2 linked regions of the Arabidopsis thaliana genome follow. The protein of the gene in region 2 interacts with the protein of the main gene of each other region in a pairwise test. Each region holds a gene or a part of one and is shown on either strand. Other genes may lie near its edges.

Region 1 (4,610 bases), on a different chromosome or scaffold from region 2:
GAATGCCCACCAAGGTTCTCAAGATCACTACCCGTAAAGCTCCTTGTGGTGAAGGTATGATGATTATGCTCATCTCATCTTTTATATTGCCTTCAGAATCACTAGAGCTTGTTGTTGGAACCACTCCCTTAGTTCATTTGCTCTATTAAACCTAGGATTTAGGTCTTAGAATTTGTGATTGTGCTCAATACTGTTTTATACTCTGTCACTGCAAGTGTCTTCACATTTGCTGAAACTCTCTTAACTATTGGTATTGTAAACAGGAACCAACACATGGGACAGATTCGAGCTTAGGGTACACAAGCGAGTTATAGATCTTTTCAGCTCTCCTGATGTGGTCAAGCAGATCACCTCCATCACCATTGAACCTGGTGTTGAAGTTGAGGTCACCATCGCTGACTCGTAGATCAACCCTTCTGTGGCTTTGGTATCTCTTTTCAAATTCTCTTAAGAAACAATCTTCTTTTCCCGTAACGACATTCCTTTTGAGTTAAAAAAAAAACAAATGTTTTGTTGTAGTGAAACCCAAGTTCTTATGTTTTCTTAATTTAATAGATTTTGAATTTTTTAATTAGAAGTTCGTCCTTTATTCTTAACTTGAGATCTTTTGACCCTCTCGATGACATAACTCTGTATGAAGTTACCAACTTGCTATCTCATTTCAAATTGAGAGATCTATTACGAGAAAGATTAAAGTTTAATCAGCCATAAATTGAAAAGCTAAGTATCACGAACATAATACTTTATCGTTGAACATAATACAACTCTTTCATCGTTAAAATAACACAACTACTATGTTTTCGAGTACAATTGTGAAGAGTCTAGTGATCTTTGGTCTCACTTTCATGAACCATCTCTTCAGCATCCTCAAACCTCTGATCATTGATTTGGAGCTGCAGTGTGAATACAAAAGGCAGATGAAACCACGCTCAATTTTTTAAAAACAAAAAAAGAGGAAAAATTGAAAGCAGAGTTTTGTAACTTTGTATTACCTCAAGCATAGGCTGATTAAGACCTTCATCTCCATTGGAATGACCAATTACACTAGTCGGACTCTGAGATATTTGCCACTCTGCATCATCATCTGTTGCAAACACATAGAAAACCATCACATTTCATTCGTACCATTCAAGATGAATACATTAACACACTCTTTAATTCGGTCTAAGTCATATGAAAACATTAATTACCTCCTCCACGAACATCCATCTGATCAGCACTAAACACCCAATTATGTCCGCTTTCTTCTTCTTCTTCTGAAAGATGCAATGAAACCAAAGATATAAATGGCTAGGTAACCAAAAAATGCAATTAGTGATACTATTAAACCAGTAATTATATGTTTTACCTTGAACTGGTTCAGGATTCAGCTCAGCACACTCGCAGAATACATCAAACAGCGTCTCCACTTTCATATGACAAGACAAAACGATATATCAGCTTAATAATATCCAAGACTCTTATATAATGAAACAGCCGATTCTAATAGCTCTAAAGATTGCTACATAACAACTCACACTGGGTAGAGTCAGAAGGAACAAGCCTCATCTCTCTGATCTTTGATAAGTCCAAAACTTCAGTGGATTCTGAATCAGACTCATCATCCTCATCTTCTTCAACTTCAATCTTCAAAACATTAAACCAAAAACTTAGCAAAATGAGAACAGAAAAGACTTAATCACACCTCTCAAATCCAATTAAAACGTGTAAGCCACTTTCTCAAATTCCAGCAAGCACTTGCAACAAGCAACATTACAGTACAGGCCTAAGAACTAATCACAATCAACGAGAACAACACTAATTCCCTTTTAAGCTACCAAGTCTAACAAAACCCAGAAAAATTGCAAGAGTTGAATACCTGAGTATATATACAAGGAGATGAATAAGCCTCAGGATCTCTAGAAACAGCGTGAAGCGATATTGATAAGAAATCAACTGCGTATCCTTTAGCCATGTCTACATCGCTCAGCCAAATTAATTTCCTGAAATCAAATCACAAAATTAAGCTAAGACATTTATCTCAATCGAGAAGGACTAGATTTTGAGTTAATTTTTGTACCTGGAAGTGATGTAGAGAGTTCCGGGAGACTCAATGGGACGGTTTCCGAGAGCGACGGCGACGGAAGTCTGAACGTGCATAAGTTCCTCGCCGTTAGATTCATCCAGTACCGGTTTCCCGGAGCCATCTTCGGTTCTGAGCGTGAAATCTCTTAGACCAGCCACCATTTTTTCCGATCACAAAGAAAGAATCGTCAAAAAAAACAGAGATTTTCAGGCAGGGTTTTTCTTAGGGTTTCTCAGAGGAATGATTTGTTACGTTTACTGATGAAGAACACTACAAGGCTTTTGACAAAATGGGCTTCGTTAAAAAAGCCCATACTACATTAAAACATAAGCCCACTAAACTATTGAGATCAGATAAGTCTCTCTGGTGGTCCATTTCCCTTGAACCTTTTTTGTTACTTTGTGTGAATGTAATGTTTGGTTGTTGATTAATGTTGTTTCGAATAAATTTTGTTATGTAAATATATTTATGGGTGAAAAATGTCGTTGTCTTTGAGAGTGATGAGGTGTGGGAGATGATGGATAAGGAAGAGATGGGGGTGGTCATTCATGGGGATAGGGGAAGGTTATGGGACATATAGAGATTGTGACAATGCTTTATATTAATGAACGGATCATTGTCAACAACGACTCTTCTCTTCAAATTGTTATCTATTTTCTTAACGGAGATGTCGGTTGATAAAAATAATATACATTCATTACGAGTTGTCTACTTCGAAGAAGGAGTTTATTTGGTGCCTCCCAGCTATGTGCACAAGCCTAGTTGAATTCAATGACTTATAAGTTTAGGTCGATGAGAATTTGGATCATATATCTAAAAGTACTGTAGAAGATTATGTTTTACCTTTGGGCATAGATTTGATTCAATGAGAAATGGAACGACCAAAAGTCGAAAGAATCGGACCAAAGTAAAACCATTCCTTAGAGATGATGAACTTCATTATATAGTGAATTCCAAGACAATGATTAACAAAATCACATAAGAATTAATTAGATTTTGGTAGTTCATCTTCAATATAAGAACTACGTTAATTTTTCGTCTTTACGGATTTCACTATATATTAATCTTCTTGGTTTTATAATAAAGGTAACGGTGATGAAAAAAAGAAGAAGATCTTTTTAAAATACAATTTTAAGGCAAACGAATACATGTCTGAAGACCCTATATACTATTACTAATATCTGTTTGACGTGCTTGTCGGTTTTAAATAGTGTCAACAAAAAAAATTAGACTCAACAACTCAATAATATACGTTTTTTTTTGTCAATTCTCAATAATATACGTCTACATCTATTTTGAGAATCTGTATAAGACAGCTAAATACATATGCTTACTTTAATGTTTCATTATATTAGTTTCAGATGCCATCTCTCATGCATGCATGTGCATTTTTTGAATATCTTATTTGCTAAACATCCAAAATCTGAAGAATAACAATGCGTGTACATATGCTCAAGAAAAGACAAAAAAAAAAAAAAAAAAAATCCAAAATCAGAGAGAAGTTTAAACCAAAACACATCATTTCATATTTACACTTACAAAAAAAGTCATTTACTCGAAAAACATAGACTTTTTCACTCTTCTCACCACACAAAATACTCCAAAGCCAATCAAAACTCTCTTAATATAATTACTTATACAAAATAACTAATCATCTTCTTAATTACTACTTTCACTCGTCTGAACCATCACAGAGGTGATCATCTTTGCTCTAACGTACCCAATAATCTATAAGATTTGAATTTAAGCTTCAATAATGGCTTCTCCTCGGGGAACCCTAACCCTAAACACATGTTCCTCTCCAGTGCACTTATCAACCTTCACCACCCAACGACTCTTCCTCATCACTTGGTCACGATGGTGATTTTTCATCATCATCTTCTGATTATCATTGACCCTCGTCACAAGTAACCCTTCTCCTATAGGTAAAAACTGCGTTTTCCTTCCATCGCTAAACCTCCATGACCCTCTCGAAAACGCGTTATAACCCACCACAACCGCCACACCGCTTCCACCCCCGGTTCTTGCGTTTTCTTCGTGATGATTAAGGATTTTTCCAACGATCTCTTGGTGGTTTTCGAGGTTACAATCCACGAGGACGAAATCTGCTTCTCCGAAATGATTATTGATTAGAGTGTCGTCGTTAGATTCTCCGACTACGAATTGTATCTGATGAATCTCTGATGGTTCCAACATTTTTTGGGATATGATTAGTTCTTCGATACCACGTAAAACGCATACAACTTGACCACGCGTTTGGTTAGCCGCTGCGATTAGTGCAACGAGTATGTCGGCGTTTGCTGCTCCGGCGCAAGCCACGGCTATCTTTCTAGCGCTATTTCCGGCGGCTAGGGCTGATATGAATTCGGCGACGTTTGGTTCTTTTGTCCTTTGATCCTGAAAATGCATATAGAGAAATATGTCAAAATGTGACATTAACTAATCTTTTATCGTAATTTGAAACAATATCACGGGTAAATGTTTTGGTTATAAGAATAAACTCTTACCGTTTTCAATGTACTAAGATAGGCTTTAGTAGCATTCT
Region 2 (4,335 bases):
AATGAAAAGGACGAGCACAGTGTTATTGAAAAACCAGAGTTTTGCAAAATTTAGCTGTTGGAACTTGTCGTCGGGTCCCATTTCTATCCTCTTTATAGTTTTTTTACTTAATTCAGTTCCACAGTTTTGCACTGAAATTTTAAAAGAAAACAATGTAACAATAACAAGTATTCGATTTTTCTTGATTTTAAGCATGTATATAAACCTTATCAATAAGAAATAGTCTGATACTAAATGAAAACTCCAATCCGTAATAATGAGTATCATACCGAATCTCCGATTAAGAAATAAACAAGTAACGACTATATATTAACCTTTAAAGTTGTCGCAGCCTTGTAATATTCTTTTGATCTTTTAAAATTATAAAGCTGAGATTTAGCAATGGTGGGGTTAACGTGAAGCATCATTAGGAGTGTTAATGGGTCACACTCACACCTATGTTTTTGACTTTTTTTTATTACCTTTCGTACTTTTGTTTTGTTTTCTATCTTTAACCTTCAACGGCACAATTCTTACACAGCCAAACAATCGCAGTGTGCAGTGTAAGTCAACACCATTTGTATACGTTCTCACTTGTCAAATCTTGGTTAGTGACCAAGCCTTATTGAATAATTGAAAGTTCTGAAAAATAATTCACTATAAACAAGTATTACTTACCATTCAACTAACCACACTAATTCACAATTTCATTTCATCAAAATTAACATATGTAAGAATGTGAAACCCAACCAAACTGAACCAACAGAATTTTGGTTAGATTTGAACTATATCCAAAATTGCAAGGTAATGTGACTTGTTAATCTTTTTATAGATCGACGAGTTCTTCATCACAAATAGCTGAATGTATCCACGATTCATCACAACATCCATAGCTCCCTAAACAAGGTTTTGACTTCTACCTAAACAATCCATAAACAAGGACAAGAGAGGTGATCAATAGTAGAACCGATTTAGCCCTTGTTCGAGTAAGATTCAGATGTGATCACTAGCTTAGTTTCTAGCTTTCTAAGATGTTATTAAGTTCCTCGAAATGGCGCAAGAAAGTTGCTGTTTCAACCTCAAAAGAGTTAGCAATGTAAAACGATCCTCAAGATAGATGTTTACCTTAAGAAGACATAACAAAGTTTAATGGATTCGTTCTTAAAAGAAAACACAAGAAGATAAGGCAAAGACAACTCACTCGTCAACAAATCTACAAACTTTGAAAGCTAAGATAGATGAGAAATTGCGGCTAAAGTCAATGAAAGGCAACATGATAGCACGATACCGTAAACCTGAGGAAGTTCAATCAAACATCTTAAAGCCTTCATAATCTCAAGAAAACAGCGACAAAAACAGTAAAAAGCCGAGACAAGAGTCCTGTTCATTCACTGCTAACCTAATCACTGCTGCTGATTATGTGGTGGCATGCCAGGACGCGGTGGAGCAAAACCACCAGGAGCAGGAGGCATTCCAGGGCGAGGCGGAGGAGGTCCTTGCATTCCATGAGGTGGAGGAGGAGGTCCTCTCATCATACCACCAGGAGGAGGAATCATTGGCCTTTGCCCATACTGAGGCGGTGGTGGTCCAGAAAACTGCTGTGGCGGTGGCCTCATACCATAAGGCGGTGGAGGACCTCTTCCCATAGGAGGACCTTGACCACCAAAAGGAGGCGGTGGCAACATCTGTCCCGGAGGTCGAATAATCGGAGGAGCTGAAAGCTGTGGTGGACGAGAGATCTGAGGCTGCATCATTCCCGGAGCAGGTCCACCAACACCACGAACAGGACCAGATAAACCAGGCTGAGCTTGAACTAACGGACCAGTAGGAACTCCACGCCCAGCGGCACGGCCAATTCCTGGACCAGCAACAGCAGCTGCAGAGCCAGCTTTAGCACGAGATTCTTCAGGAGGAGGTGGTCCTTCGACAGTCATTGAGATAACTTCTTCACCTCTAAGCAACACTAAACCTAGCGTACGGCGATCTTCACGCTCTTCGTTGATCTTCTTCCCTTTAGCTGGTGGAAGCTTACGAAACTCCTCGCAATCGCCGAGAACGAGGTTCATGTGACGGTCAAACGCCATGAACTTCCCAACGAGCTGTCTTCCGTCTTGGATCGTCACTCGCATCCTGTAGTTGATGAACTGAAGCATCTTTGAACTCTTCGACATCGACATTCTCGCCGATTGAATAGTAACACTCGCTACAAGCAGAGATTCGGCGGCGAAACCGAGTATGCCGGAGGATCGAAATCGAGCTTAGGGTTTCAAAAAACTAAATCGAGAGGCCAAAATTGGGGGGGTTTGGCTGTGCAAATCGGGAAGTGGGAAATTTCTAGGGTTTATAAATGAATACACTCTTGTTTATGGGCTTACTTTCATTATGGGCCCAAACATATTGGACTTGGGCTGCAATTAGTTGAATAGGCTACAATATTTGTTAGTTTGAGGCTCCAAGTTTCACTAAGCTTATTTTATGGAGCAAATCAGCAAATGTCAAAGTTTAATCGGGAACAAATGTGTAAAGTTCAACAAGATTAAAACAAATCTGATACATTGAATAAGGAAATATTTTGTTATTCAAAACACACGTGTATTCCTGAACTTGGCATGAACTAGCGTGCATCAGGGATATGTTCAGGACCAAAGCTTGTGCTCTGTTCAAGAGAACTCTTGGAGTCCACGTCATGTCTCCCTCCTTTCCTTGAGTTCTCAGTTAAGAGACACTCTTGTAGTTCATTAGCAACCTGGGACATATTTGGTCTTCCGGATGAAGATGGACTGACGCATGACATTGCTAACTCAAGAGCCTTCCACAATGAACTAGAGTCATAATCACCGTTCATACTTGGATCCACAATATTTTTGATATCTCCATTGGTTAACTTAAATCCCACCCATTCTCCTATGTGAGACTTCTCACGAGTTTGGTCAATCACTGGCTGACTTGTGATGATTTCCAGTAATACGACTCCAAAACTGAAGACATCACTCTTCTCTGTCAACCAGTTTGTTCGGTAATATCTATAATACGAATGAATAAAAAATTTACCAGATGGAAAGAGAAAGACACAACTTAAGTTCATTAAGTATTGTTATAGACCACTTACTCAGGGTCAAGATAACCTGGAGATCCAGCAACATTTGTTGACACATGAGTTTCACTTCCCACCGGAAAAGATCTTGAAAGCCCGAAATCACCAAGTTTGGCCTGGAAATTATTATCAAGAAGTATATTCATAGATTTGATATCTCTATGAATCATTGGTGGTTTGCAGCCGATATGCAAGTACTCCAGTCCTATATAATACAACTCATAAAAGGTTTATTTCAAAACTCACCAAGAGAAGTGAACATCTCAAAAAATTTGCAATGTTATCTTTTTCTCAAAACTTCAAACGAACCTTGTGCTGTCTCTGCAGCAATTCTTAGCCTATTTTCCCAACTCAAAGGGGACCTAGAATTTTCTCCTGTACTCATAAAGATGTGTGTATGTTATAAGATGACACACGATCATTGTGTTTAGAAACAAATTAGGTAATCAAGGTTACCAGATAGATGTTGTTTTAAGTTTCCATTGGACATGTACTCGTAGATGAGGACCAAGTGTTGTCCTTCGTCACAATAACCAACAAGAGTTACTAAATTTATGTGGTGTACTCTGAGAAGAAGGTCTACCTAGCAAACCACAAGTAACCCAAAAGTTGGTAAATCATATATATACATTTTATTTGAGTATATGAATAATTAAACTTAATGATAGTGAAGGTACCTCAGCTTTAAATTGCTTATATCCTTGAGCTGAGGATTCAGAGAGCACCTTTACAGCCACTTGTTCGTTATCATTTACATTACCGTGGTACACGACTCCAAATCCTCCTTCGCCAAGAGGTCTCTCAAAATTGTTTGTAATTACCGCAACCTCTTCATAAGTATAGCTTCTCTTGTTCGCCACCATTGATGAGCGTGAAGCTATTATATACCATACATTATATACTTAAGTACAAATTTGAAGTTAATGAGTTTTAATTAGTCCTGAGCTTACCTTTGGATGGCTTCTTCTTTCTAAGTAAGAGAATGTTGACGAGAAGAAGCACAGCTATAATAATTCCCACAGAAGCAGCTGATGCAAGAATAGGTACTAGCAATTTCTTTTTGTTATTCCCAGGACCAGTTTCACTTTCGCATGATGGATCCAAACAGAGGTTATTTCCATTATACAGCAACGTTATTAGCCCATTCTTTTCCATGTTGAGAAGGCTTTGAGGAATTGAGCCGCTAAGATTGTTCCCACTCAAGTTTCTGTGCAATGTATATAAAACGTTATTAGATGCATCCATTTAAAGATTTAAAACCA

Evidence for each region.
Region 1: the proteins of smB (region 2) and AT5G62290 interact in a two-hybrid assay, tested with the Arabidopsis thaliana proteins (one large-scale study listed by BioGRID).

Annotation. Positions count from the first base shown.
Region 1 is NC_003076.8:25,017,184-25,021,793, reverse strand, and holds AT5G62290 (nucleotide-sensitive chloride conductance regulator (ICln) family protein), read right to left. Parts: upstream 2,620-4,610; 5' UTR 2,227-2,619; coding exon 2,060-2,226; intron 1,983-2,059; coding exon 1,859-1,982; intron 1,627-1,858; coding exon 1,518-1,626; intron 1,409-1,517; coding exon 1,349-1,408; intron 1,257-1,348; coding exon 1,191-1,256; intron 1,085-1,190; coding exon 993-1,084; intron 894-992; coding exon 822-893; 3' UTR 663-821; downstream 1-662. Other genes in the region: AT5G62300 (Ribosomal protein S10p/S20e family protein), read left to right, coding at 1-54, 264-406; AT5G62280 (DUF1442 family protein (DUF1442)), read right to left, coding at 3,809-4,462, 4,573-4,610. UniProt on the Arabidopsis thaliana protein: May participate in cellular volume control by activation of a swelling-induced chloride conductance pathway.
Region 2 is NC_003075.7:11,021,461-11,025,795, forward strand, and holds smB (small nuclear ribonucleoprotein associated protein B), read right to left. Parts: upstream 2,392-4,335; 5' UTR 2,157-2,391; coding exon 1,383-2,156; 3' UTR 1,379-1,382; exon of another isoform or gene 1,275-1,378; 3' UTR 576-1,274; downstream 1-575. Other genes in the region: AT4G20450 (Leucine-rich repeat protein kinase family protein), read right to left, coding at 2,594-3,002, 3,089-3,278, 3,383-3,448, 3,530-3,656, 3,751-3,950, 4,024-4,280.